Stegostoma tigrinum: one gene and its partners. The protein of the gene in region 1 interacts with the protein of each later gene in a pairwise test. Links are inferred from orthologs where the notes say so. Each region holds a gene or a part of one and is shown in the gene's direction. Other genes may lie near its edges. The genes, in order: crk, ppfibp2b, inactive ubiquitin carboxyl-terminal hydrolase 53-like and psmc6.

The links.
Region 2: the proteins of crk (region 1) and ppfibp2b interact in binary tests that used the Homo sapiens proteins (3 or more experiments, as listed by UniProt). The link is inferred for Stegostoma tigrinum from reciprocal best matches to the Homo sapiens genes CRK and PPFIBP2.
Region 3: the proteins of crk (region 1) and inactive ubiquitin carboxyl-terminal hydrolase 53-like interact in binary tests that used the Homo sapiens proteins (3 or more experiments, as listed by UniProt). The two-hybrid records come from large-scale screens. The link is inferred for Stegostoma tigrinum from reciprocal best matches to the Homo sapiens genes CRK and USP53.
Region 4: the proteins of crk (region 1) and psmc6 interact in binary tests that used the Homo sapiens proteins (3 or more experiments, as listed by UniProt). The two-hybrid records come from large-scale screens. The link is inferred for Stegostoma tigrinum from reciprocal best matches to the Homo sapiens genes CRK and PSMC6.

What each region holds. Positions count from the first base shown.
Region 1 is NC_081380.1:46,981,457-46,989,418, reverse strand, and holds the start of crk (adapter molecule crk), read left to right. Parts: upstream 1-4,904; 5' UTR 4,905-5,264; coding exon 5,265-6,041; intron 6,042-7,962. UniProt on the Homo sapiens protein: Involved in cell branching and adhesion mediated by BCAR1-CRK-RAPGEF1 signaling and activation of RAP1.
Region 2 is NC_081370.1:38,748,248-38,755,857, reverse strand, and holds the start of ppfibp2b (liprin-beta-2b), read left to right. Parts: upstream 1-4,557; 5' UTR 4,558-4,710; intron 4,711-5,192; exon of another isoform or gene 5,193-5,226; intron 5,227-6,219; exon of another isoform or gene 6,220-6,276; intron 6,277-7,610. UniProt on the Homo sapiens protein: May regulate the disassembly of focal adhesions. Did not bind receptor-like tyrosine phosphatases type 2A.
Region 3 is NC_081354.1:68,133,841-68,141,671, forward strand, and holds the start of inactive ubiquitin carboxyl-terminal hydrolase 53-like, read left to right. Parts: upstream 1-4,818; 5' UTR 4,819-4,909; coding exon of another isoform or gene 4,910-4,996; 5' UTR 4,997-5,242; coding exon 5,243-5,386; intron 5,387-7,831. Other genes in the region: uncharacterized protein LOC125463357, read right to left, coding at 656-736, 4,910-4,996. UniProt on the Homo sapiens protein: Deubiquitinase that mediates 'Lys-63'-linked deubiquitination of tight junction proteins, such as MARVELD2 and LSR, and which is involved in the survival of auditory hair cells and hearing.
Region 4 is NC_081363.1:46,102,944-46,110,018, forward strand, and holds the start of psmc6 (26S proteasome regulatory subunit 10B), read left to right. Parts: upstream 1-4,038; 5' UTR 4,039-4,112; coding exon 4,113-4,197; intron 4,198-7,075. Other genes in the region: ero1a (ERO1-like protein alpha), read right to left, coding at 1-68. UniProt on the Homo sapiens protein: Component of the 26S proteasome, a multiprotein complex involved in the ATP-dependent degradation of ubiquitinated proteins.

The sequences.
Region 1 (7,962 bases):
CATGGTGCATTTGGCAGATCTCTTTGAAAGACCAGGGAAGGCAAAACTGCTCATAAATATTGCAAAAGCTGAATTCGTGAAGGCAGAAGTGACGTCCTTATGGCACAACATTGAACATGGATGGATGACACCAAGAAATGTGAAGACGAAGGCCAATGAGGAATATCCAAGACCATCCTCGAAGAAGGAAATGCTACGCTTTCGGAACTGAGCGGATTCTACAGGAAATCTCCACCAAATTTCAGTAGCATGGTGGTACCGCTGAGGAGTTTGTTAAAGGAGAAGATGAAATTTCGGTGGACAGAACAAGGACAGGAGGCATTTGAGAATTTAAAAGCTACGTTAGCTACCACACTAGTTTTAGCCGCACCAAATTTCTTCAAAGCCTTTAAAGTCACCATCAACACAAACAATGTAAGCGTCGGAGATGTGTTGTTCCAGGAGGATGATTGTGGAATTGAAAGGCCAATCAGTTATTGTTCAAAGAAACTCAATATCCACCAGAGAAAATACTTAGCCATTTAAAAATAGTTATTGGCATTACAACATTTTCATGTTTACATTGCAAACAATGTCTTGGAGACAGTCGTGTACTCTGACCACAACAATTTGACATTTTTGGTGAGATTTAAGGGCCAGAACACTAGCCTATTTTGTTTAGCCTTATGATACAAGCATTTAATTTACATATTGTACAAGTTACAGGTCGTGAAAATGTTACTGCGGAAGCGTTATTTTGGGTTTAAAAGAAAAATGTGTATAAGATAGAAACGTTAGTGTTCAATGTTATGTATGTATACAGAATTAGTATGAAAAGTGTAACACAGGATTAATGAGCTATGGATAGAGTAATAGTGGTGTTAAGGTTTAGATAAAAAAGAAGAAAGAATGAAGCCATTTTTCATTATGATTGTTCATTTTTTTCTGAGGGGGATGTGTTGCAAAATTGGGCATACTATTGATGGATTAAAAGGCAGGATGTTAGATTTTTTTAAGTTTGTAAATTGATAAGAGGGAAAAGTGCATATTCCTTTAAAAATAGATGTGTGTTTTTCCTAGGCTTGGAGATTTTAAAAGTCTGCAAGCAGCACAGCTGCACAGAGAGTTCCTGAAGGGAAACATTTGTATTGAGGGGGTATATTGTGGGTATATCTGCAGGAAAAGCAGCATCTTTTACTAATCAACAGGCTTTGAAATTTATCCAATTAATTTAAACTAGGCCCCAATCTAATGGTTTTGACAACCTTGGACCAATTTTATTATAAGAAATTAACAGGTCATCAGAAGTATAAAAGAAGAGGGTATTTGAAAATCAGGGTAAGAGCAACTGCCATCTAAGAGAAATAACAACCCATAAGCTCTAAAGAGAAACACTGGCTCTCATGGAATTCTATCAGCTCTCAGAAAAAAAACCCATCATCTAATTAAAGGTACAGTAGCATTTTACCAGAATTTGACAGCGAAAGGCATTCCTGGTGGAGAATCAGTTCAGAGGGTGTGGAGCATCTGGAAGGTGTATCCTGGCTGTAAATTTGAGAGATTAAGCTTTAATTGTTTTTATTAATTTGGTTTCTAAGTGGGACATGTATCAATTAGAGCAGCTTACCATTAGAATTTTGTCTTATTTGGGAATAGTTTGTAGTTAAGGGGTGAATTGTTCAATTTGTTAGTAGTTCTGTTAATTTGTTAACTGTTGGAGTTAGATAAATTGTTACTTGTTGATTGTGAGTGAATGTCGGAAGTTCATCTTACTTTCACCTCTCCTTTATGACAGATTGGGAGGTGAGAGGCAGGTTATACTAATTTTCGCATTTCGTTTAACAGATTATGAAGTGAGGCAAGCTTCTCTGAGGTTTTGGTTTTAATTATCAGAGGGGTTTGACCACTCCTTCATAACAATAGCACTCTGCATAATTCTCGTCATCCTGCTATAGGAAGAATATTATTAAACTTGAGAGGTGTAAAATAGATTTACAAGGATATTACCAAGTCTGGAGGGTTTGATCTATAGGGAGAGGCTGAATAGGCTGGGGCTATTTTCAATGGAGTGTAGAAGGCTGATAGATGACTTATAGAGGTTTATAATATCATGAGAGTCATTGATAAGGTAAATAGGCCAAGTCTTTTCCCCAAGGTTTGGGAGTCCAAAACCAGAGGGCAGAAGTTTAAGGTGAGAGGGGAAAGACGCAGAAGGGACCTTGAGGGGCAGCTTTTTCACACAGAGGGTGGTACATATATAGAATGAGCTGCTAGAGGGAGTGGTAGAGGCAAGTACAGTTACAACATTTTTAAAAAGACCTTTGGACAGGTACATGAATAGGGGAGGTTTAGAGGGCAATGTGGCCAAACACAGACAAACGGGAACAAAACCAGAAGTTGCAGGAAAAGCTCAGCAGGTCTGGCAGCATCTGTGAAGAGAAATCAGAGATAATGTTTCAGGTCTTGTGACCCTTTCTTAGAACTCAGTTCTAAGGAAGTGTCATGGGACCAAAAACATTAACTCTGATTTTCTCTTCGCAGATGCTGCCAGACCTGCTGAGCTTTTCCTGCAACTTCTGGTTTTGTTCCTGATTTACAGCATCTGCAGTTCTTTTGGTTTTTATTTATATAGACAAATGGAACTAGTTCAGTTTCGGAAACACGGTTGGTAAGGACTAGTGAGGCTGAAGGGGCAGCGGATTGTCTGACTTACAGAAGGCAGAGGCAAGGGATAAAGGGGTCTTTTCCAGGATGGAAGCTGGTGACTACTGGAGTTCTGCATGGTTTCATGTTGAGATCACAGAATCACATCATATGTTAATCATCTGAACAAAGGAGCTGAGGGCATTGTTGTTATATTTGCAGATGACACAAAGATGGGTGGAAGGATAGGTAGTGCTGAGGAATCAGGGAGGATGCAAAAGTACTTGGATAAGCTAGTGTTGAAAGAATTGGCAGATGGAATACAATGTGGGAAAATGTAATTGTGCACTTTGGAAGGAAGAATAGAGGCATTGACTATTTCCTAAATATGGAAAGGCTTTTGGAAATCTGAGACAGAAAGACTTGGAAGTCCTCGTTCAGGATTCTCTTTAAGAGTTAATATGTGGGTTCACTTGGCAGTGGGGAGGGCAAATGCAATGTGAACATTCATTTCCAGAGGGCTAGAATACAAGAGCAAGAGATGTACTGCCGAGGCTGTATCGGGTTCAGGCCAGACTGCATTTGGAATATTGTGGGCAGTTTCCTTCCTCGTATCTAAAGGAGGATGTGCTGATGTTGGAGGTGGTACAAAAAAGGTTTACAATAATGATCCCAATAATGAAGGGCTTGTCATAATGAGGAGTGGTTGAGGACTCTGGGCCTGTACTTGATTGAATTTAGAAAATCGAGGGGGGATCTGATTGGTAATGAGGCCTGGATACAGTAATTGCGAAAAACATGCTTCCACTTTTAGGAGACATTAGGAACCCAGGACACAGTCTCAGCATGTAGGGGCATCTAGAGCTGAGATGAGATGGAACTCTTCAGTCAAATGGTTGTTAATCTGCAGCAATCATTGCCACACAGGGATGTGGAGGCCAAGTCATCGAGCATATCTAAGACAAAGATAGATAAATTCTTGATTGGTAAGGGATCAAGGGTTACGGGGAGAAACCAGGAGAATGGGGTTGAGGAGCATATCAGCCATGATTACTTGGTAGAACAACCTTGATGGGCCGTATGGCCTAATATATGGTCTAAAAACAAATCATTATTATTTCTGAATTCCTCCATGGTATTGTCCCTCCATCTCTCCTGGGTCCTCAATTCTGTTGCTTGAACATCCTAATTTTAATTGATCCACCTGGTAGCTTTGCTATCAGCTCTGTCCAGGCTGCATAATGTGGATTTGCCTTAGTCCAACATATCTACATATTCGCATGACCGCCCTATCGATACATTCACAAAAAGAAACAAACTATTTCATTAATTTTGATGTGAATGCTATGTAATTAACCTAGGGATATTCACCAGGATGATGCCTTGGATAGAGCACTTCAGCTATGAAGGAAGGCTGGATAAGTTCAGGCTATTTTATTTGGAGTAGTGAAAGTTGACGAGTCTGTATCTGGGTGTATAAGACCATGAAGGATATGGAGAGGGTGGACAGAGAGAAAGTATCAAGTGGAATTAAGAACAAGGCACCATAATTTTAAAGTGAAAAGCCAAAAGGCTCACAACCTTTAAAAAAGTAGTTTAATGAACAACTGAAGTGTCATAACATAGAAGGCTGTGGGCCTACTGCTTGATTACGGGACTAGTATAGGTACTAGCATATTTTGACAGTACAGACTCAATGGACCAAAGCACCTCATCGATACTGTGTGATTCTATGAATCAGTGCCCTAAACTTCTCCACCACCCCTCAGTCCTCAGGCCCTACGGCCCTACCTGAGTATCAAACTAATGTCTTTCAGTGCTTCAGTACCAAAATCTTTGTTTGGTAATCCTCCCTTGAATCATGTTCAGGTGTTTCAATATAAAATTTTCGTATGATATTGAAGAAAGCTCACTGGACTCGAAACATTGACTTTGTGTTCTTTTCACAGACGCTGGCAGACCTACATAGTTTCTCCAGCAATTTCTTGTTTTTGTTTGTTTCGGATTTCAGCGTCCGCAGTTCTTTGTTTCAATTTTGTTTGATGATCTGCAGCCCCGGGACCACCCCTGGTTGACTGGGTTGCAGGCGCCATGTCGGTGCAATTGGATATTGCTGGACCCTCTAGCACAAGAAGGGAGTCCAACACGACCTCACCAAGATGGCAGACGGCTATTCCCATCGCCACGAGCTGCCCTTCCGAGTGGTGGGGTCAGCGCTCGCCCTCTCTCTCTCTCCACCCGACCTCACTCCAGGGAGTGCGCGTGCGCAGTGGGGCGGTCCCTTTTAGAGAACAAACGCCCTAATCAAAAGTCGGCGGATAGAAATCGGCTAAAAGGGTCGGGCGCAGTTAACGATTCCGCTGTTCTCGCGCGCTATTTTCCAACAGATTTACAGTGAGAGGGGAAAAAAAATATAAGTTTCACAAACAAGAGGCGGCCGATCTGAGAACTGACGCGGGGGGACGGATTTTATGAAGTAAACACGCGTCTGTTTGCCGCCCGGGGACTTTATATTTTCTTTAGTTTAGTGTGTTGTGAAGGGAGGCCTGAGGCCTAGGCGGCGAGTAGGCCGCTGCCGGCACCGCTGGGCAGGCAGAGCGGAGCTGAGAGTAGCCCGGCCCGGGTAGAGCACACTGAGGGACATGGCGGCTAATTTCGACGCCCAGAAGCAAGAGAGTTGGTACTTCGGTCCCATGAGGCGGGACCAAGCCGTGTCTCTGCTGATGGGCCAAAAGCACGGCACTTTCCTGGTGAGGGACAGTCGCACCATCCCAGGGGACTACGTGCTGAGTGTCAGCGAGAACTCGAAGGTGTCGCATTATATCATCAACAGCCGGCAGCAGCAAGGCCCAGGCCCCGGGCCCGGGCGCTACCGCATTGGCGACCAGGAGTTCGAGAATTTGCACGGCCTGCTGGAGTTCTACAAGATCCATTACCTGGACACCACCACCCTGCTGGAGCCTGTCCACAGGCCCAACGCCGCCTACATCCCCACCAACAGCGTCCCGTCTGAGGAGGCCCACTTTGTCCGCGCCCTCTTCGACTTCCCCGGCAACGACGAGGAGGACCTGCCGTTCCGCAAGGGCGACGTGCTCCGCATCCTGGACAAGCCCGAGGATCAGTGGTGGAACGCGCAGAACAGCGAAGGCCGCTGCGGCATGATCCCCGTGCCTTACGTGGAGAAATGCCGGCCCAGCTCGCTGCTCGGCCCGGCTAACAGCCCGGAGGGCGGCCAGGCGTTAGCGGCCCAGCACCAGCCCTCGCCGGGGGTTGGCGGAGTTGGGCAGCCTGAGTTCGGGCCCTATGCCCAGCCTAGTGTCAGTGCCTCGCTGCCCAACCTCCAGAACGGGCCGGTGTATGCCCGGGCCTTCCAGAAGCGTGTCCCCAATGCCTATGATAAGACGGCCCTGGCTCTGGAGGTAGGTGCCTTGTGGTCCATTCCGTTTCCTCCCCCTTTTCAGCAGTGCTCTGTCAGTCTGGGTATTCGAGTATTGCTGGTCGCTATACTTGGGGAAGGAAGGCAAATATCCGAAGACGGTGAAAAAGTCGATGATAAGTAATGTAAGATTAAGAACTTTCAGCGTTCTGCCCTGGTTTTAAAGAGAAGTCCTATTGGACGTGAAACGTTAACGCCAGATGCTGCTGGGCTTGTTGAATTTTTCTAGCGCTTTGTTTTTTTTTTCAGATTTCTAGCCTCACATTTTGCTTTTATTCTGCTTGAAAATCTGATTTTGATTAGTGTTAAGCTTTTTTATTTGATAACACTCGTGAAACAACTTGGGCTGTTAGGGATACTGTATCAATATTGAGCGCAGTGTTGAAAAGCTGAGATTGTCCTTTTTTTAAAAAAAGAAAGTGAGGGATATGGGGAATCTGGTGCCTTTGCTTATAAAACATTCCAAGGCACGCAATTGTTAGACCTGATTTGACAATGGGTTATGAGATGATATTAGAACAGATGACAATTTTTGTTGGAGGTGAATTTAAATAGGAGCAAATTTAGCAGGGTGGATATCCAAAACACACAGGCCTCAACTGTTGAAGGCACAACCACCAGTAGTGGACCAATTAAAATCAGGAACAAGGGAAATGCCAAGATTGTGAATCTCAGGTTTGTTGAACTCGGGAAGTTTTTAGAATTTAGAAGGCAGTGCTGCTTTGGGCTGAACACACAGATCCGAATTTTAAAATCAAAATGTTGCCTTAACTGGAATGATACTAGGGATGATGATGTGAGGAAAACTGGATTGTTTTCCTTGTGATTTGTGTGCTTACAATCCCAAATGATTTGGATTGAATAGATAAGGATGAAACAGTTTCCTTGTCAGAAAATGTGGAGCTGGAAAAGCACAGCCAGTCAGACAGCATCCCAGGAGTAGGAAAGTCAACGTTTCGGGCAGAGACCCTCCATTAGGATGGGTTTGATGAAGGGCTTCGGTCCAAAATGTTGACTTTCCTGCTCCTTGGATGCTGTCTGACTGTGCTTTTCCAGCTCCACATTTATTGATTCTAGCTTCCAGCACTTGCAGTCGTTACTGTCTCCAATGTCAGAAAGATCTGTAACCAGAGAGCACTAGTTTTATAGAGATCAGAGATAATGGGAACTGCAGTTGCTGGAGAATTCCAAGATAATAAAATGTGAGGCTGGATGAACACAGCAGGCCAAGCAGCATCTCAGGAGCACAAAAGCTGACGTTTCGGGCCTAGACCCTTCATCAGAGAGGGGGATGGGGAGAGGGAACTGGAATAAATAGGGAGAGAGGGGGAGGCGGACCGAAGATGGAGAGTAAAGAAGATAGGTGGGGAGGTAGGGAGGGGATAGGTCAGTCCAGGGAAGACGGACAGGTCAAGGAGGTGGGATGAGGTTAGTAGGTAGATGGGGGTGCGGCTTGGGGTGGGAGGAAGGGATGGGTGAGAGGAAGAACCGGTTAGGGAGGCAGAGACAGGTTGGACTGGTTTTGGGATGCAGTGGGTGGGGGGGCGGAAGAGCTGGGCTGGTTGTGTGGTGCAGTGGGGGGAGGGGACGAACTAGGCTGGTTTAGGGATGCAGTAGGGGAAGGGGAGATTTTGAAACTGGTGAAGTCCACATTGATACCATATGGCTGCAGGGTTCCCAGGCGAAATGAGTTGCTGTTCCTGCAACCTTTGGGTGGCATCATTGTGGCAGTGCAGGAGGCCCATGATGGACATGTCATCTAGAGAATGGGAGGGGGAGTGGAAATGGTTTGCAACTGGGAGGTGCAGTTGTTTGTTGCGAACTGAGCGGAGGTGTTCTGCAAAGCGGTCCCCAAGCCTCCGCTTGGTTTCCCCAATGTAGAGGAAGCCGCACCGGGTACAGTG
Region 2 (7,610 bases), on another chromosome or scaffold:
TTGAAAGTGCTCAGAAAAGATTTAAAAGATGTTACCAGGATTGGAAGTTTTAAGTTATTGGGTGAAGCTGATTATGCTGGGGCTATTTTCCTTAAAGTGTCAGAGGGTGAGGGATAACCTTTTAGAGGTTCGTAAAATCATGAGGGGCATGGATGGGGTCAATAGTCAAGGTCTTTTCCCCAGGGTAGGAGAGTCTAAAACTAGAGGGCATAGCTTTAATATCAGAAGGGAAAGATTCAACAGGAACCTAAGGGGCAACTTTTGCACACAGAGAATGGTGCTTGTATGGAATGAGCTGCCAGAGTAAGTGGTGGAGACTGGTACAATTACAATATTTAAAAGACATCTGGATAAGTACAAGAGGAGGAGGAGTTTAGAGGGATATTGACCAAATGCTAGCATATGGGACTAGACTAAATTAGGATATCTGGTTGACGTGGACGGGTTGGACCAAAGAGTCTGTTTCTGTGCTTCACATCTGTATGTCTCCATGACCTTGGTGGGAACCATGGGCACAGAGAGTATGGGTACTAAATCTGACGAACACCTCACTGTGACAGCTCCGCAGCTGGGCTAGGGAGAAACTCCCCAGGGTACTGGCACATCCCTGTGAGCTCACTGCCACTTGGGACCTAATGACCCTTCTTCCCCAGGAATCGCATCAGCGCAGTGAAACATCCAACTGTTTATCTGACTCCAGGGACTGGTTGGCAGCTCTATATTGTCAGAGACAGCACCTTCAGGTGCTGCTGAATAGGCACACACTGCATCACCCGAGCCCTTTATCCTCAGGACTAAAGACATGGCTACAGGAGGTGGGGTGCAGAGAACCTTGATTTCACTCCCAGTTGTCCGCTTCTCACGAGCAGGCTGAGTGGTCCCAGAAGACCCCAGCCAGTGATGGGTCACAAATCCTTTAGCAGTTTCTGTTTTTGGCACTGGGGTGGTGGTCAGCTCTCCCACCCCCACCCCAATTTCCATCTTGCCTAATATCCTCCAACCCCCTCAAGCTAAGGAGGGTCAACTCTGAAAAGATTATTCTTGTCACATTCCGCCTGTCAAGACAGAAACACCCCCTGAGTTGCCCAATCAAACGTCTGGGGTTCTACATTTACATTAGAGCAGGCTCTTTCCAGCCCAACTGCAGAACTGGGGAGTGCAAAAGAAAGACTTAATGAGGGCACATTGGTGGCAGAGGCGAAGAAGGCTATCTTGTTGTTGTTGATTTTAACATTTGTGCATCTGTTTGTTTGAGACTCTCTCTGTCTAGGCACTCAACACATTTTCAAACCAGCTGCAGCAGTTCATGGCTATATAAGAGGTTTCATGCATTGCGCTTAGTACTGAAAGCATACTGCACCGGCTATAAGCTGGAGATACCTTTGGACTTCCTGGAAGAACACAATCTGTAAGAACATAACAAATAGGAGAAGGAGTAGGCTATCCAGCTCCTCACACCTGCCCCACCATTCAGCAAGGTCATGACTGACATGCCCCTAGCTTCAACCCCTCTCATCTGCCAGGTCAGCATATCCATCAACCTCCTGATATTTCAATTTCTGTTTACCCCTCTTTAAATGTTTTCAGTCCTCTAGCCTCCAAAACTCTCTGGGTTGGAGAAATCAGACATTCATTTTCCTCTAAGAGAAGAAATTCCTTCCCACCTCAATTCTAAACAAGTGTCCACTAATTCTGTAACTATGTCTTCTGGTTTGAGATTCCCTCACTAGTGAAAGTCAAGCCCCCTCAAAATCTTATATGTTTTGATAAGACCACTACTCATTCTTCTAAACTTTCACGTATAAAGATCAAGTCTGTTTCTGATTAGTAAATCCCTTCATCTCAGATACCAATCTAGTGAATGCCCTTTGAATAGCCTCCAAAACCAGTACATTTTTCTCAATGCAGGGACCAAAATTGTATATCATATTCCAAATGCAACCCCACCAATACCCTGCACAGTTGTAATGAGACTTTCCTGTTTATAAACTTCAACACTTTTATTTGGCAATAAAGGCCAAAATTCTATTTGCTTTAATTACTTGTTGCACCTGCATGTGAACTAACACAAGAAAACCAAAATCCCTCTGCACTGCACTTTTTTGGCTGTCTTTTGAGTCTTCCTACTAAAGTGAAAGCCTCAAAATTTTGGTACAATTTTTTGACCACTCACATGACCTATCAATATCCTTTTGCAAATTCCTTATGTCCTCATCATGTCTTCCAATCCTGCCTATTTTAGATTCAAATAGACAGTAAATAATTGAGGCCCCTAATCCTAGAAGCACTCTAATGATTCTGTTCTTCCAACCTGAAAAAAAACTATTTATCCTTACTGCCTTCTGTGCATTAACCAACCCTTATATATTATTCCCAAGACCACACCAGTTTGAGCAAGAACCTTTTATCTGGCACATTATTGAATATCTCATGAAATACAGATACATATCATCTACTGGTTCCCCCTTACCAACCCGACTTGTTTTAGACCTAAAGAGCTCAAGTAAATTTCCCTAACACAAAACTACATTGACTCTGTTAAATTGCATTAAGCTTTTCTAAATGCCCTCCTATTTCTTTTTTATTGATGGAACCCTAGCATTTTTCCAATGACAGATATTAGGCTGACTGAAGTTTTTGCATTTCTTTCTCCCTTATTTAAATTTGTTTATATCATCTGCCATTTCCCTGTTTCCTGTTGTAAATTCTCCATCTACATCCTCCAAGATCCCACCTTTACTTTGGAAACTCTCGTTCTTTTTATATACCCCTAGAAATTATTGCTGTTGTTGTTATATTTCATGCCAATTTACTTTCCTTTTTAATTTTTTCCCCTCTTTAATTATTAGCTTTACAGTCATCCATTTTTTCTGCTTTGTATGCCTTTGTTTTAATTGGCTACTCTCCTTGACCGTGTTATTTAATTATGGGTGGTTCATACTTCTCATCAAGTCATTACGTTTGATCAGAATAAATTTTTGCTAAGTGGTATGAAATACCTACTTAAATGGCTGCCACTGTTCACTCACTGACTTTAACTTAGTCGATTTTCCCAGCACACTTCAGGCAACTCAGTCTTCATAACTGCAGTTATCTACACCAGGGTCAATGGTTTAAGACCAGAGCTGATCTTCCTCAAATTGAATTTGAAATTCTACTACATTGCGATTCCCTCCTCCTTTGAAGATCCTTGACTATAGATCTCTTATTATAATTACACCATTACATATTACTAGATCTAAAACAACCTGTTTGTGTAGAGGTGTTGTAATGGCCTGCTCTAGGAAGCAATGCCTGATGCACCCTAGAAATTAGGCTTCGAGGTCACCCTTGCTCACTTGATTTGTCTAGTCAATGCCTCCCATGTACCCTCAGAAGGTCTTCTTCCTTTCCCTCTCTAAAAGGCTCAATGCAATTCCTGGAGTCTGCAGCCAGGATGAAGGAGCATGCCCTACAGCAGAACGCGTTGGTTTTGGCATTTCAATCTGGCACCCTGGGGCATTGGCGTCTCGATGGCCCTCATATGCTGGATGAGTCCTGTCCAGAGATTGGTGCACACTCCTCACTTTGAAGTCCCACACACCTAAGGCCAAAGGCCTCGCCACTTCTCAATTGTACTGAGGGGAGACGACTGAGTAGCCTACATGTGGTTCCTCCTTTACCTGTCTCCATGAGAATAAGAGGCACCTGGAGTGAGGTGATGTTCCTTCGTCCTTTTTGCCACTGGTGCTGAGCATTATAGGGACATAACTATATCTCACATAAGTCATTAAAGGTGACAGGACAAGTAGAGAGATCCATTAATAAAGAATACTGTGTTCTACGCTTCACGAATAAAACAATTAGTACTGCTGCCGAACAGAGCTAAGGGTGCAGGTTTGATTCCAGCCTTGGCTGATTGTCTGTGTGGAGTCTGCATGTTCTCCCCTGCGGGTTTCCTCCGGGTGCTTCGGTTTCCTCCCATAGTCCAAAAATGTGCAGATTAAGGGGATTGACCATGTTGAATTGCCCGTAGCATCTAAGGGTATGTAGGTTAGATGGATTAGCAATGGGGAATGCAGAGTTACAGAATTTGGGCAGAAGGATAGGTCTAGATGGCATGGGCCGGTGTGAACTTGATGGATCGAATGGCCTGCCTCCATCGATTCTATGACAGTAACATGATAATGATTAGACTTCAGCTGATATCCACATCCCACTGAAAAAGGAAAAAACATGGGAGGGGATGGTGGTCAGCTAATGGCCAAGTAGTATGCCCAATGATGAACTGTCTGATTCAGCCTTAGAGAGTGTCCTGGGAGAGGAAGCGAACAACGGCTGAGGAACAGGGGCCATAGACATAGCATCAATCTGCACAATATTCATTGCTCACCCGATTGTCGGACAGGCTCGAGGAAGACCCTGAACACGTCTCTTCTTGCAAACAGAGGAGGACGCTAATAGCAGGAACTGAGCGGGATGTGTCCCACTGCGGTTCCTATTATGAAGGGCAACAACGTCTTTTTTCTCTGGAATTGTTTTATCATATGACAACGCCTCTCACGGGACTCTTGCCAACTCATGGAAACTGAGAGAGGGGGTAATGAGAGTTTAAGAGGTGTGTACCGTTGCAAGGCTGCAATCCTAGCTCTCTGCACAACGCAAGTTTTGTTCTGGGGATTGAGTGACGCCCCGAAGTTCGGTTCAGGTTACAGCGAGTGATAGCAACAGGTGAGAATCATTCACACTAGCTACAAAGTTTTGTTTGGGAAGTTGAACAAATAATTTGCTATTTCCCTTTCTCTCACTGTTAGTTTCCTGTTTGCTTTAAATTGTGACTTGTGCGCAAAGCCTTTGTTTCCATATTTCCGCTACCTTGGTGCCTTTCAATTTGTAAACAGTTTGTCGATTCAAATTTGTTTAGACAGAATTTATCAGTTTCCATTTGAATAGCTGAATGTGTGTATATAAAATAACTGATATTTTGTTAGTGACGAGGGTCGTTTTCTTCACGGAGGGTTTGTACAATGACTTCAGAAATAAATTGACTTGTTGGGCTGTAGTTTATGTGAGTGATGAATTGGTTGCAGAGCTCCTTTTTGATGGCTTAAACATCTTATGAACTCTGCGGAGTTGAATCTCGCCTGAAAACCTCTTGTAACCAGTCAGATTTCTTAATTTGCATGCCGAACGCCAGCCTGTGTACTGCTGCCTGTTTTCTTTCTACAACATCCGTTGAATCTACAGGTACCTTTTTTGGGAACTTTTTTGTGAGCGCTGATTATGCAACTTAATTTTTTCCTCTTGTATTTTGTAAAATATCTCCTTTTAAGGCACAAGCTCCTAGTCAAAGTGCGCACTGAAACCATCTTATTTCTTACCAATGTCACTCTCTTAGTTTTGATTACTTGCGCATACCTTGATGCTGGATTTGAAAACCTTTTTGAACTCTGTTTTACTGCTATTCCTTCCCCCTCCTGATAGATTTACAATTGAGACGAAGTGGCCGGTGGAGTGGATATCCTCTTTCCCGCAGTTCTCCGCCCCACCCCGTCCCCCACAAATAACCTCAGCGACCTGTCTGTAATGTGAATGCAGTGGCGCCGCTTCCAGAGTGGCTCGCCAATCGCCAGCCGCTTTTTCCACGGCGTGTTACACTTTTGCAGTTGTCCCCAGGGTTAACTATCATAACTGTGTGGGCACTGAGCTATTTTCGTACCGCCGGCAGAGTCCTAACTGCATCTTCCCCCCCCACCGCCGTGGCAATAGAAACTTGTCAATAGAACCGTGTTAAGCCGGACGGCAGCGAGTCGACCGACCCCATGACAATGTTCGCTTTTGCTTACAATCGGATGGAGTGCGTGGTTTCACTACCTGTAGCTTTACATTGCGGTCCCCGTTGGACGTTTAACTCTCTGATATCCAGATGTTTTTTGAACGTGGTAATCGTATTTTTTTTCGTTAAATGGTTGGATTTGGTTTGTATAGGTTGGTCTGCCTTGCTTTTACAGATACATAGCCATTGAGCGAGCCATACAAAAGTCTGCGCTGTGCTGTTCTATTTCTATAGTTGGCTTCTTAATAATTTAAGAGGCGTAAATAATTGAAGTGCTTTAAATTCTGAGCCACTGTGCCCTTTTTTAATAGTTGTATCATTGCAAAATGCGATAAGCAATTGATGGAAATCGGCTTAACTGTCTCTTATCTCCTTTTCCTGCCTGAAAACTCCCAATGTGGCAGAAGTTGAAGCTTTTCAAAAGATCTCTTCCATCATGTAGAGCTCCTCCAGTGGCCTGGGTGAGTGATTGCACCATGTGGAGAGAGGTTAGCCGTACAATCCGGGAAGGATCCGGAATATATTTAAAAGCAAGCGAAATACACTGCAGATGCTGAGAGATCTGAAATAAGACTGCAGGATAAACTCAGATCTGGCAACTTCTGTAGGAGGAGTTGAGTCCAACATAACCCTTGGAAAGACTGCTGCTAGACCTGCTACTGAGTGCCTCCAGTGCTCTCTGTTCTTATTTTCTGCTCTGTTACTTTTGCCCATTTATTCACAGGATGTGATGGTGAGCATTTCCTTGAACCGCAGCAGTCCATTTGCTGCCTTTACCCCCACAGTGATGACAGTTCAGAACTCTGATCCAGTGACAGTAAAAGAACAGCGAGATCGTTCTGAGTCAGAATGATGTGTGACTTGGAGGATAACCAATGCCTCCCACACTTGTTGAAGAAGGGCCTAGGCTCAAAACGTCAGCCTTCCTGCTCCTCTGCTGCTTGGCCTGCTGTGTTCATTCAGCTCTACACCTTGTTATCTCAGATTCTCTAGCATCTGCAGTTCCCACTATTTCTGGTTTGGAGGCTGTTGTCTAAGGAGTCTTGGTATATTTGTGCAGTGAATCTTGGTGGTCGTGCCTGCTGTAGTCACGATTCAGCCTGTCCTGAAGCTTCCATTGAAATTTTTTGAACCACCCAGAAGGCAATGTGTTGTGTGTACCATGTAATGTAACGACAGACCACAAAGCATCCATAAGCACCACGGTTAAACACTTCACCTGTCAGGTGACCAGTTATAGGAATGTGGGTATATAGTGTCTGGAGATGGGGTGGAGGTCTCCTGGATTACAGTCCAACCTACACTTCTTTGCAGTATCACAGCCCTTGCTCAGTGGTATAATGTTTACCTCTAAATTAGAAAATGAGAGTTTTGACTATCACTTTAGAGTGTCTACTCTAGGCTAACACCACGACAATAATAAGGGAGTGCAGCACTGTCAGAAATGCTGTCTTTCAAATAAGGTCAATTGCTACTCTGTCGATTCCATCCAGTGGATGTCCAAGATCATATAGCACTATATCGAAGAAGAGTAAGGGGATTATTCCTGGTGTCCTGGCCAACATCTATGCCTCAATGCATGTCACAAAGGCAAATAGTTTGATCTTACTGCAAACAAATTGATTGTCTTCTACAATACAATAGTGATTACACTTCATTATGTCTTCTTCATAAACAATTTTGTAATGACCTTTACATTGGATAAAAGCAGTGTAAGGTGGAATTTGCTGTTTCTCCAATTGGAAAGTTACTTGCAGTGTAAAGTGAATTTGCTGTTGTGTCACAAGACCGTAGG
Region 3 (7,831 bases), on another chromosome or scaffold:
ATCATCGTGTCATCGATCAGCAGAAGTTAACAACCATACTTTCAGTCCTTTCATCCAAGTCATTTATTAGATAAAGTGGAGGCCCAACACTGATCCCTGTAGCATACTAATTCAAATTTGCAAACCAGGAAATGTGACATCTATGCCTATCTTCTTAATAAAGTGTGGAGCTGGATGAACCATCCCCCTTTTCTGATGAAGGGTCTAGGCCCAAAACGTCAGCTTTTGTACTCCTAAGCTGCTGCTTGGCCTACTGTGTTCATCCAGCTCCACACTTTGTTATCTCGGATTCTCCAGCATCTGCAATTCCCATTATCTCCATGCCTTCCTTCTGTCTCCTCTCAGTTAGCCAATCTTCTACTCCCGTGCGTTTTTATTTCCCACAATATCCTTCAACATGACACCTTATCAAATACTTTCTGGAAACGTAAGTACAGTGTAACAACAGGTTCAACTTTATCCATATATTACTTCACAAAAAAAAAGGCAAAAACTGGATAAACAATTTCTCTTACAAAAAACCATGTTGACTCTGCCCTCAAGGAGTCCTGACAAAACTGGACACAATGGGAATAAAAGAGAGAACTCTCCACCAGTTGTAGTCACACCTGGCACAAAGGGAGATGATTGTGGTGGAGGAGATCACTTATCTCACCTCTTGGGTATCTCTGCAAGAGTTAATCAGGAGTGTCCTCAGCCCAAATATCTTCAGCTGCTTCAATGACCTTCCCTGAATCTGGAAGTGGAGAAATATTCACTGATAATTGCATTATAGTCAATACTATTTGCAACTCTTCAGATACTGCAGCAAGACCTGGACTATATCAAGGTTTGGATCAAAAAGCAGCAAATGACACTGATACCACACACTGCTAGGCAATTACCATCTGCAATGAGAGAATTTAACCCCTCATAGATATTCAATGGCATTACCATCCCCGAATCCCCCTTTATCAACATTTGGAAAGGTGTTTCAGGGTTTTGACCCACTGACATTAGGGAACAGCGATATTGTTGCTATACAGGATGGTGAAGGCGATGGCTTAGAGGGGATCTGGTCAATGTTGGTTTCCCCTTGTACTTGCCGCCCTTGTGCTCCTGGATGGTAGCAATCTTGGATTTGGTAGCTGCTGCTTAAAGAGTCTTCTGCAGTACATTTAAGAGAAAGTACACACTGGGACTAGTATATGTCAGCTGTCGAAGGAGTGAAGGTTTGTGGACGTGGTGCTAATCAAGGAGCTGTTTTATCCTGGATGATGTTAAGGTTGTAGTGTCTTTGGAGCTGCAATCATCCAGGAAACTCAGAGCATTCCATTCTATTCCAGACTTGGACCTTTACAATGGTAGACTGACTTTGGGGAGAAAGGAGGTAGGTTACTCATTGAAAGATTCCTACTCTCTGACCTATTCTATAGCTGTAGTATTTTTATAGCTAGCTCTATTCAGTTTCCAATCAATGGTAACCACTCCAGGATGTTGACACTTAGGGATTCAGTAATATTGATGCCACAGGGCAACAGTTAGATTCTTTCTTGTTGGAGATGAAACTATTCATACTTTCCAGTATCCGAGGATTCTCAAATTGTGCAATTCTCAGCAATGTCATTAAGAAAATACCCACTTTTAACCTTATAAAAGGTTATTGATGAAGCTGCCTAACATGGTTAGGCCTAGGACATTACCCTCAGCAACCCGTACATTAACCTCTTGGAGCTGAAATGACTGACTTCCTACAATCACAACCATTTTCCTTTCTATAAATACGAAAGTTTCCTGATTCCCATTGATTCTAGGTTTTGCTAGGTTCCTTGACACCTCACTTAGTCAATTATGAGAAAACAGCTGACAGTCTATTAGAATACGCAGGTTTATAGGTAAGAGAGGCATGGATGAGGGTTTCAGCAGTTGCAGAGTAGAGAAATATAGAGGTGATAATGGGCTGTCCTAGCTGTGGCACAGAAATGTGATCAGAAGCTACCTCAGATATGATGCCAAGCTAATGAACAGTTATCCAGCTCGACAGTTGCAAGACAGCAGAATATAAGTTGTTAGCAAGGGAATAGAATTTGTAGCAACAACCAAAGATAATGGATTTCCAATATTTAACCAGAGGGAAGTTCTGTCCATTCAGTCACACAAAGAGTTCAATAACTTAATCACAATGGAGCACTAAGAAAGATAACTGCTGAGAATCATCAGCAAATTTGTTAGAACTTACCCTGTGGTTTCAAAGGATGGCTTATAAAGAAGAAATGGGATGGGGAAGGAGGAAGGATAGATCCTGGGAGTGGCATGGGTGGTGCAGCAGAAGTTATTATGCCCTAACAGGAATAGAAGCCATTCCACATACTTCTTTAGGTGTATTTTGTTAGATAAGAATAAATCCATGGAGCGTTGTCCTACCTGTTGGATGATAGTGGAAAGGCATTGAAGATGTTGTTGTTAACAATGTCAAAAGACTGCATTCAGAAGGAGAAGGAATAGTTTTCCTTTGTCAAAACCACATAGAAAGTCACTCTGACTTTGATAAGAGCCATTTCAGCACCATGGCAATGATGGGAAAATTACTGGAGCAATCCACAGTACAATTTTAAATCAGCTGATGTTTGCAAAGAGTTAAAGATGACAGGCTAAACTTGAAACCACCAGCCAGGTGACGGAAAACTGTTGGGATGGTTTCAGAGGTAGACAGATTGAGAGGGAGCATGTGATATTACAGAGGCTCAAGGAGGTTGCCTTCATTGATTTAGCGACTGTGTCACAAGCATTTGTTTCAAAGTGAAAATTCTTATAACTTTTTCACCACGACTAAGATTATTAAGCTAAGAGGCAAGTTCTTATACTTCCATACGCCAGTACCATCTAATTGGAACTGTGGTCTATTGACTTTGAAGGTGGCTACAAGTTATTCATAATTTTTATGGACCTAAAGGGCTGGAAAATACTTCACCATTATCAGAGATGTAAATCACAAATTCCTGTTTGTAGGTTCAGGAATTATTAAATCGTTGCCCAGATACAAAACCCTCTTGATCCTACAGATTCTCAGGCAAGTGGTTTGGCCTGCCACGTCATTGGTGGCTCTCCTGAATAAACAATTCATCTCATGCCATTCTCTTGCCTTCTCCCAGTAACTCTAAACGGTCTTCATTTTTAGATAATAATCCAGTTCCCTCGTGAATGCCTCAAGCCAACTTGCCTTGATCACACTATCAGATGGTGCATACCAGAGTTTAAACACTTGCTGCACAAGAATTTTTTTCATGTTTCTATTTTTTTTGCCAATTACTTTAAATGTGTCCTCTCAGCCTCTCACCAGTGGAACAGTTTTATTTGCTTACTTACTCTGTTCAAACGACTGTTTTCAATATTAAATATCCTTTCAACTTTTCCAATATCACCCGTGGGGTGGCATAGCAGTTAGCACTGCTACCTCAGCGCCAGGGACCCGGGTTCGATTCCAGTCTCGGGCGACTGTCTGTGCGGATTTTGCGCATTCTCCCCGTGTTTCTGCTTGGGTTTCCTCCCACAGTTATGTCGATTGGCTATGCTAACTTACCCATAGTGTTCAGGGATGTGTAGATTAGGTGGGTCTGGACGGGATGTTCCGAGGTTTGGTGAGGGCTTGTTGAGCCGATAGGCCTGTGTCCATACTGCAGGGATTCTTTGATCATAGAATTTCAAGCTAAGGAAAAAGTTATTTGGACAATCACTCACCCTAACTCTTCCCGTTCCCCCCCCCCCTACACACTCTACGATTGATAATTGAGTAATAAAACATGAACAGTGAAACTGAAGTTGGAAAACAGCTTTCAAAAGTACGCAGCGTTCGGGATCCTGAACCTCTCCGCTTCCCCAACACCAGGTTGGCCACATCTCTTTTTCATTTTTATCTTTCTCCTCTTTTTGATAGTGACCGCGAAAGAAGGTGGCATCACTACCAGCAAGAGCAGTAGCAGGCAGCCCAGGGTGGTTGCAGCTGTGAGTCGAAGCCCTTTTGATGAGTGCGAGCTTAGCATGGCTAGGTGCTTGTGGACTGTGGTGTTGAACTATTAACAATGTTTTGTTTTTCTACCTTTTAGTAAGGAGGACTGTAATGTTTAACTTTTTTTAAATGTTGGTTTCATTATTTTACCCCTTTGTACCTAGATTCTGTACCAAGGTATCTTTGTTCCTAAGATGGCGCTCTAAGTGGCGACTTGTAAACTTTTCACTGTGCTCGTGAGTTTACATTCAAATTCAAATGAGAAACTACATTATACCATAATTGCACTCAATAAAATACTGGTAAAAACTTGTTTATATCATGAAAATTCCTGACCCATACAAACATCTTTCAACTTAAAAGCAAAACTAAATTATCTAGAGATAATAATCCAAACAAATTATCTAACAGGGAGGAGCAGCGGCCGGACAGATCGCAGAGATTTCCAAACTCCATTCTTTCGCCGTTCGCCTTGATTATTGCAATCACTGGAGGCTCACTAACTCGGTTAGTGTTATTACCACTGCCCAACCTAACGCCTCTTTACTTCATCACGAAAGGAGGTCAGTGAGGAAGAATCTCCTCCCCGAATACCCCCATCTCTTGGCACCACTCGTTCATACGTACTCTCCTTTGAATTGTACACAGAGCTACTTTGCCCGATCAATCGTTTTTCCTCCTGCTCTCAAATGACAGGCAAGGAAGGAGAACTACAGACAGAAAGACAACACCGACCTACACCTAGCGTGGGGGTACTCGCCGTTCTGCCATCCCTCCCCGCTTCCCTGAGCCGCGGCTGGAGTCGCACGTGACCGGACGCAGGCAGCTGGAATCAGCTGGTGGTGACGCAACGGCGCACGGACCTGGTGTCGAAGGCGGACGGTTGGACCGGAGTAGTCTCCTTTCGCGCGCCGCTCGACTTACCTGCCAGGGCAGCGTCTTCCTGCTCCTTCTTCTCATTCTCCGTTCTGTAGGCCCGCCGTCCTTCGTCCAGTTCGCGGCCATCACCATCGCCACTCTGGGGAGTGTGTGTGTCCGAGGACGGCGATGAAGGACTGTGGAGGGTGAAAAGTGTTGAGATTTTCGAAGGGGAGATACCCCATGGACAGCAGTCGCTTCACCTGAGGAGGGGAGGGCGGCGGGGAGCGAGGGTGTGGGGGTGTTCGCGAGGCACCTGGCAGCCAGTTCGCGGCCCGAACCGCCCCGCCCCCTCCCTCTGTCAGTCCGATTGTTGTGGCTCGCGCCATTCCCGGGACAATGGCCTGGATGAAGAACTTGCTGAAGCCTGGAGGTAACCTGCGGAGCGGCTACCAGCCCGGGAGCATGTTGTCCATCGCCCCCCCCAAAGGGCTTCTGAACGGACCCGGAGAGAACAGCTGCTTCCTCAACAGCGCGGTGCAGGTAAGGGAACGGCACCTGATCCGCACTGGGCTCGGGCTGCGTTCAGCGGTGCGCCGACAGCCATAACAACGACTGCTCGTTCGACACACCTTGAGAACCCATGTTTAAAAGTCGGAGGCAATCTTCCCTTTTTTTGTGGAATTGTGTCTGGAAACTTTTAACTCCACCCGACTGCTTCCCGATGGAAGGAATGCAGTGACACCCTGATTGCACCGTATCTGGCGCAGTTTATCATTTCGGATCGCTGTAGGGGAAATAATTTTAAAAAACCCTCATCCATCGTACAAGCTGACTGCAACGATTCGTCTTCTTTTAAATTATTTTGTTGGGTATTAGCTTTTAATTGTTGCACGTTGATAGTTCAGCTGTCGCTGTACTTTGCAATACCTTGTAAACCAAACTCTATTGTTATCAAGGCGAAATCGCAGAGAGCGTCACCAGATCCTAAGAGGAAGACGGGAGGAGGTGAAATTTTAACAAGTCTGATGCAGATAAAATTTGCAATCTGATTTTGAAATGGAACATTTAACTCTTAATTTCATAGGACACAGATGTTATGCTGCAGGTGGACTTTATTTTTTTTAAACGTGATGATACTGCAGGGAAAGTACTGTTTTTAGATGTTTGTAGATTTTGTTATAGGCTTCTATTTTATCCCTCGGTCTCAATTTTTTTCCCTGGGGCTATTTGTCTACTGACACATTTGAGGAGTGACTAGCATTTTGATTTTGTGGACCCCTTAAGTGTTTTATGTCTTAAGAGTTTGACCAATGTAGCCACCAGTTTTCATGTATCTAAAGCTATCAATAACTGAATATTCTGATTTGTTTTTTATTTAATGATTTATTACAAACTTCCAGACCTGCAAGGTTTGAACTGGGCGTGTATACAAAAAGAGATACAAGCTAAGTTATACTTCAAAATAGGAAAGAACTATTGTACATATTTGGAAGGTGATTCTACTAACTTCTTTGGAGTCATCAGAAGAATTACTCAGTTTGAGTAACTGACGTATTTTTTAAATACTGTTTTTAGTTGAGTTTCAGCTGGTTGAAAAGTGATTTGAATGGTGTATTGTTGTAGTTAACTGAAGAGTTTTTCTGTTATAAATTGTGGATCAAACACATTCTTCACATTTTTGCCTGAATTGTGTAGTGCAAACGTACAGATTATATCTCTCTTCAGACTACTTTTAGAAGTTGAAAAATGGTTTTATTATTTAAGATCTGCTTGCGCAAGCTATATTTCAAAGACTTGTAACAACACAGCTCTGAGCCTTTTCCTTTCTTGAGAAGCAAACTAAACCTATCCATTCTTTCCTGATCATCAGCTTTTTCGTTTGTTTCTTCACAAGTTCCTCCACATCCTTCCTACAACATAAGGAAATATTGTGCACAGTACTGTGGTTAACCAGGTTGATAAGTTGCTATGTCTTCTCAGTTCTTTTATCAAAATGAACCCCAGTTTGTATTTTTAAAGTTGCCCAAGCAAGGAACAGGTAGGCAGTTTAGTATACTGAAAACTTAAAGTAATGTAGAAAACAGTATGACGTAAACAAACATTTGTAATTTGTTTCACTTCAGAAATATTTGTCAGTTTAGGTATGCTTAAAATAATGTGGTCCTTTAAACTTTTGCAAAACTGTGGCTATTGTTGTCCTTGTTTAGTTATACTTCAGATGACTTCGGTTTGAATGAAACTGCAGGTAACATGTATGGGGGGAAAAGTTTCAGGTATGATTGGTGATGAAGTCACAGTAGTTTTGTAACAAAAACAAATTGCTGGAAAATCTTAGCAGGTTTGGCAGATCTGTGAAGAAAAATCAGAATTAACATTTCTGGTCTGGTGTCCCTTCCTCAGAACTCAGGAAGGGTTGCTGGACCCAAAATGTTAATTCTGATTTTTCTTCACAGATGCTGCCAGACCTGCCGAGCTTTATCAGCAACTCCTGTTTTGGTTCTGATTTACAGCATCTGCAGTTCTTTCAGTTTTTATTTAGTTTTGTAACACTTCAGTTTCTTTGTATGGCAAAGCATGTGCACAAAACACCCAGTCTGTGGGAGAATGCTATTCAATTCACGCTCATGGAGAATGGTAGATTTTCTGCAATAATTGTTAACTTACTGTGGAGTTAGAAATGTTCTTACAAAAAAAGATTTGTGCTTTACAGATAGTGTTGTACTTGGCACAACTTATGGGCTGAGTTTTTTTCAGTGATTTTTGCCTACTGAGCAAAGCAATAAACAAACTTGTGGCTGTTCTAATATCAAAAATACTTTACATCAGATGAGAGCTTTAGATGAATTGTGCCCTGGAAGACTGCGCTTTGATGGAACAAATCCTTATGAACTGTTCATTATTTTTGTTCATGTGTATTTTTCTAGCCTATATTTCCCATAGAAATTTAAACTCTTTATTTTGCTGTAGGATAGTATAGATTTTCAA
Region 4 (7,075 bases), on another chromosome or scaffold:
GAAGTATGATGCTCCTTACACCGGGCTGAAAATACACAATAAAGCAGCAAAAGGACCCGTGTCAACATGATAAGAAATGCTTAATCTCGCCTAATACGGTCAAACAAACCGCTTCAATCCAAATGCTGGAAAAAAAAATAAATGCCAACGCGAACCAGCAACTGGGAGTGAACAAACTCGACTCATTGAAAGTTTGCTGGTAGAAGTTCCACCTCCTGGTAAATTTCACAATACTTCCTGGTCTGATGTGCAACACCAAACTCGCACGTCCCGAGACGCTACCAAACACCTCCGGTGGTGTAGTTGTTCGATTTGCCGTTTGTTACCATGCGCCTGAGACACTGTACAGAATCAGATCAGTGGAGGGACAACTTCCTCTCAGTGTTGAGAGGACGTGGATTACGTGCTCGTTCGCTTCCATTTAGAGGAATTAGATTCTGCTGGCAAGGGAGGGATCTTTGCTTGTGTTTTATTTATTTAAAGATATACAATCTGATGTCACACCTGTGTTACACCGTCCTATACAGAAAATAGCCTTTCTCATGGCATGACAAATGAGTATTTTATCGTGTCACTAACCCCATTTCCGCCTTGGACAAAATTGATTGACCTCCAACGAATGACGTTGAAATCAACTTTGTTGGCACAGCCAGCATGACAACATGCTTGTTCTCAAATTAGTAGATTGTGTTTTGCGACAATATTTCTTTAAATACAGGACTTCAGGTTATTCTTTCACCAAAGAGTTTAACAGAATCGAGAATTTTCACTCTGGGAAGAGCCACATATAGATGCCAAAGTTTAACAACAGTCACAGGGTTACAATGCAATTTTTTAAACAATCAGGCCTTCTGATTAGTTTATAATCATGAAACGTGGAAGTCTGACCGGGAACTATTTTCTGTAGAGTAGAAAAGGTGGGTTTACTTGAAAAGGATTCGATATTAATTAAGGAATAAACATTCTATTTATTTCCTTGAAATCTTAACTACAATAATTTCAGCATCTATTACTAAAGAAAATTGTTGAGGGGAATATGGGTCAGGATGGCTAAGTTGGCATTTATTGCTCTTTCCTAATTGCCCAGAGGGCAGTTAAGAATCAATTAGGTTTAAATGGATCTGGAGTCACATGTAGACAAGACCAGCAAAAGATGACAAACATCCTCCCCAAAAGGACATCAGGGGATATTTTTAACTTTAGTCATGTTCCAAGACAGTATCACTATTTAGACTCAAATTATGGGCAACATTTTTGCAGCTGTTACTTTGACTTTAACTCTGCAGGATCTAGATGTTATCATCTTCTTTGTCTACAGCATAATTGATAACATATTCTTTTAATTCACTTGCCAGCTGCTCTTAAACTTCTTCATTCAGTTGTAATGAGTCTTCGTATTTTATCTTACACAACAAAGAATAAAGTTGTAATAAATAATTGTTTCTGTAATTTTGCTACATTTAATCTATAATCTCCATCAGGCTGGGACAGATAGACCAGACAACTATCTACCAATGAGTCTGACATCAATGGTTGGTAAAATATTGTAGAAAAGAGTGACGGAGAGAATTAATCTCCATTTTGAGAGGCATGGTTTGTTAAGGGAGAGTCAGCATGACTTTGTCAGAGGGACATCATGCCTAACAAATCTGGTTGATATTTTTGAGAAGGTGACCAAATGTTTGGATGAGAGTGGGGCAATTGACAGAGTTTACATGGATTTCAACAAGATCTTTGACAAGGTCTCACATGGGAAACTGATTAAACAAAAAGATAAGAGCTCACAGAATATGGGTAATTTGGTATGTTGGATCCAAAATTGGCTTAGTGACAGGAGAAGGGGGTAGTGGTAGGAGACTGTTTGTGTGACTGGAGCCCAGTATACAGTAGCATAACATTTACATCAGTCATCTACAATCCCTACAGTGCAGATGAAGGCCATTAAACCCATTGAGTCTGCACTGACGTTTTGAAGAGCATCCCACCCAAACCCATACCACACGCTCTCGCCATAATCTTGCATTTATCATGGCTAATCACCTAACCTACACATCCCTGGACACTATGAGATATTAAAAACATCAGAGAATAGCTGAAAACAAGAGAAGACATAACTTAAAATATGAGCAAAAGCTGGCTAGAAAATAAAAACAAAAAGAGTTTTTATAGGTATTTTAGAAGGAAGGAAGTAACCAACATGAGCTTTAGTCCTCTAGAAAATGAGTCTGGCTAATTAACAATGTGAGTTATAGAAATGGTGGATGCATTGAAGATAATACTGTCTGTTTTCATACAAGACACAAATAACATCCTGGAAATACTCGTAAGTCAACAGTGAAAGGAAGAGATAAACTAAAAACAATTTCAGACTGTACTGTGATAATAAAGTGTGAAGCTGGATGAACACAGCAAGCCAAGCAGCATCTCAGGAGCACAAAAGCTGATGTTTCGGGCCTAGACCCTTCATCAGACACCCTCTCTGATGAAGAGTCTAAGCCCAAAACGTCAGCTTTTGTGCTCCTGAGATGCTGCTTGGCCTGCTGTGTTCATCCAGCTTCACACTTTATTATCTTGGATTCTCCAGCATCTGCAGTTCCCATTATCTCAGCCTGTACTGTGCTGTACCTTTCTATGTTCTATGTTCTTAGGAAAAGGATACTAAGAATAATATTAGAATTAAAGGTAGAGAAGATACCAGGACCTGATGAACTTCACCCTAAGGTCTTAAAAAGACTAGTTATTGAGATAGTAGATGCATTAGCTTCAATGTCCAAAATTCCCTGTATTCTGGAACTGTCTCATCAGATTGGAAAATGGCAAATGTATTCAAGATTTTATTCAAGAAAGGAGGGAGAAAGAAATCAAGAAATTATAGGCCAGGTAGTATAAGAGCTGGCAGATGGAAAATGCCAGAGTCTGTTGTTAAGAAGGTTATAGCAGGGAATTTAGAAATCTTACTATAAGTCAAAATCAACATGGTTTTGTGTAAATGTGTTTGACTAATTTGTCAGTTATTTAAGGAAGTAATAAGCAACAAAGATAACAGAGAAAATGTCCTTGCAGTGTTTTTGGATTTCCAAAAGGCATTTGATAAGGTTCCCATCAATATTTATTACACAAATTATGACCTCCAGGTGAGAATAAGCGTAGATCGATCATTTCCAGGTTGGCAAGAAAAAAACAAGTGGAGTTCCACAAGGATCATGCTGGGGCCTCAACTATTTCTAATTTAAATCAATAGCTTGAATGAGGAGAATAAATGTATGGTTGTTAAATACTGATTACCCAAAGATAGGTGATAAAATAAGTTGTGAAGAGTCTGCACTTATTATTAACAGATTAAGTGACCGGACAAATGTTTAATAAAGTTTAATGTGGGGAGATTTGAACTTGCCCATTTTGGCAGGAAGATTAGGAAAGCAGCATTTGATTTAAATTGAGAGACATTAAAGAATACTATGATGCGGAAAGATATCTTCTACAGTAAGTCACAAAAACCAAGACTGTATTACAATACATGATTAAGTTGGCAAATGAATGTTGTTGCTTATTGCAAGGAATTTAAAGTAGGGATATTTTGCTATACGTGTACAGGGCTTTGGTGAGATTACATCTGAAATATTGTGTACAGTTTTGGTCTGCTCACTTAACTAAAGATATGTTTACATTCGAAGCATTACAATCTTCTGGAGTGGGAAGGGAAGGACAGCAGAAAGAGTGGCCAACCTATTTAGGGGTTGGATGTCAAACAACACAAAGCCAGTTGCAGAAAATCTACAGTGAATGTGTGAGGATAGCACAAGACAGACAGTACAACGGACTATGACGACAAATCTCCCAGCAACCGCAATGCTTCTTACAGAAAACCTCAACAATAACCATTGAGACATCAATATGATGTAAGCTGCTGGCGCGTTCATTACTTCCGCCTGGCCAAACCAGATGCTGGGCTTAGCCACACGACAGCCATACCACCTCTAGCCACTAGAGGCTGTACACTTTGGAGGTAAGATACCTTCCCAGTCAGTGGCTACTCTTGCTTCAGAAGAGACTCATTGTCAAATGCGGCTGGGAGCTTCGTCTCGTCAGGCGGTGTTTGGTGCTGAACATCAATGGCGGATCCGAGGGAGAAGGCGCTTCAGGATTACAGGAAAAAATTATTGGAGCACAAAGAGATCGACGGCCGCCTGAAAGAGTGTATGTTTTCCACATTTTACTCATGGTTAATGGGTTGGGGTGTAACTGCGGCTTCTATGTTATGTACGAGCGAGTAGAAACGGGGCCTGATGCTGACTCGCTTTGTCATGCTGGGTAAAGCCGGGGCCGAGTGAATCGCAGCTTCAAGGAGCAGCCTCACCGGTCTGCTTCCAGACCAGGCTTCGCTCCAGTTCCCGCTGTGATTCATATTCTAAATCACACAAGTAAGATGTAGGAAATTGTAGTCCGGGATTCTATGTGAAGTGAAAGGAGTTTGTTGTGGGCCCCATTGGAAGGGAGATGATCCCAACCATCAGCGGCTAATAATCTGGAGCTAGAAGTTAAAATCCTATCCTAGCACCCTGAAACTTCAAATTCAGTTAATTAAACAAATCTGGAATTAAAAATTACTGACAGTTATCTCCTGTCTAATTTGATAGTGTGGCATTTCGCGGAATAAACTGCATCCATAAGTGGTTTGTATCTTTATATTTCTCACGAATGCAATTTTTTTTAATAACGTGGAGGAATACTATTTGGTTTCGTGCCTGTACTAACTCTTTGAAAGCGATGCAAGTAGTCCTACCGCTCACATTTGCAGAATTCCGTTCAGGATAATTTTGTTGAGGCAGTTTTGAACGCTGTTTTCACGTTATTTATATTTTAATTCATTTCATAATGTTATTCTAACTGTGCGGGATACTAACAAAAGCTGAATGAAGCACTGACAGGATCTATAAAATTTTCGTGTTATCAGTTCGCTTGTTACTTGTAGAAATTGATAAAGTATGTAGTGTGAAATAAAATACAAAAGTAACGTTATTCCCAATTATAATTACATATTCTTGCTTGAGTCTGTAACAAAAAAAATAGAAAATACTGGAAACAGTCCAGTAAGTATGTGAGGTGGATAACTAAATTAATGCTTTCCATGCTTCAAGTATCTATGTTTGTTTAATTACTGACCGGCAGCAGAGGAAATAGGAACAAGAGTAGGCCATTTGTCCCATCAAATGTATCAGTTTCTGGGTCTTGAGCATACTCTGGGATTAAACTCCCACATCTCTCCAGAGAAGGAAAATTCCAAAGATTCGCCACCCTCTGAGTGAATATTGGCGTTGAGACTGTTTTCCTTGGTTCTGGACTCACAAGCCAGAGGAAACTTGTATCCGTACCTGTTCCGTCATATCCTGTGAGAATTTTGTAAGTTTACCTGAAATCACTTCTCATTCTTTAAAATGCTGAGCACCCAGACCTAATTCTTCAGTCCCTGCTCTTGAGACAAATGTGCTGTCCCAAGATTAGTTTGGTGAAACTTCACTTTCTTTTTAAATTTGCTGTGTAGATACCCTTTATGCGGAAATCGCTTGATAAAGCTTGTTTTGGGAAATTTTCTGTGTGTTACATCAAAACAGGGCAATATTCTATTTAGTAAAGCTTTTTATTTATAAAAATGTTATCACAAAGGTAGTATTTAAATGAATACGTGGAAAAATGTTAGCTCGTAAATAACTTGCTTTGGCAGTGAAATATTTCATGGGCTGTATTTAGTTTTGAAGCATCTGATCAGTGTTTTTTTAAATAATCTTGTGCTTCATGTAATTAAAAGGAAGCAGCAATTATTGTTAATATTATGGCATACTTGTGGCAAAATATTGTGCATTACATGTTACTATCAAATTTCTTTCAAAATCTTTGCTTCCACTATACCTTCTCCCTCCACTGTGTGATTTAACTGATGTACAGCCCAATTAACAAGGCTTTGGCAATGTGTTCTTGGTGGGTGGAGTCCTGTCTCCTAGCTTGCTGGAAAATTTACACTCCTGAATAGATCTTAGAGAATATTGCTTGCTACCTCCATTAACTGCAGTTTTGTATATGTAGGTGAAAAAAGATTAAATACCAATCTTGAACTTGTATGCATTAATTACAAAGGAGAAATTTATTTTTAAATAAACTGAAGTCTTAAGTGCAACAAGTTTGTGGAATTGTCTGTGAACAATGTCGCACAATCTGACAATGTTTGTGGTGTCTCACGTGTTACAAAGTGTCTCAGAATATACTTTGCAGTTTCTAAATCCGAGATTTCTACATAGAATGCTTACATTCACAAAATATGCACATAAGCACAAACTGTAAATAAAAGTGCTGGAAAAATTTGGGCGATATCTCTGTGGCGAGAGAACTAAGTTAACATTTCAGGTCCAGTGACCCTCCTTCCAGTTCTAAACAGGTGAAATTGAACACAGAAAAATATCAAATAATGCATTATGGTAGAAAGAATAAGTATTGGCAATGTTAAAAGGCATACAAGAACATCTAGATCTTTGATATATAAACACAAATATTTAAAGATGGCAGGCCAAGTTAAGGCCATTTAAAGATGCAAATGCAATCCTTTAGAAATAGCATGTGTTAAAAAGTGTGAAACCTTTACAAGATACTAGTTAAATCTCATCTGGCGTATTTGATTCTTGGGACTAGACTTTAGGAAGGATGTCAAGGCCTTCAAGATCGTACAGAGAGAATATAAAACATTTGTCAGGGATGAATAAGTTGTATTTATTTTTAATCTTTCATGAAATGAGTATTGCTGGCAAGATCGATATCTGTTGTCCATTCCCAATTACCTGTCAGAATGCCATGATGCACTGCCACCTTCAACTGTTGTAGTCGAGCTGGTTTGGCATTCTTGGAGTTGTTAGAAAGTGTATTCCATGTTTTCATTCAGCAAAAATGAAGGAATGCTGAATAAACTTGCAAGTCAGGAATGTATGTGCCTTGGAGAACTAGTAGACATGAAATGGTGCTTCCATTCTGCTGTCCTTGTCTTAAGTGGGAGAGGTTTGGGGGATGTTGTCAAGGACACTGATGAGTT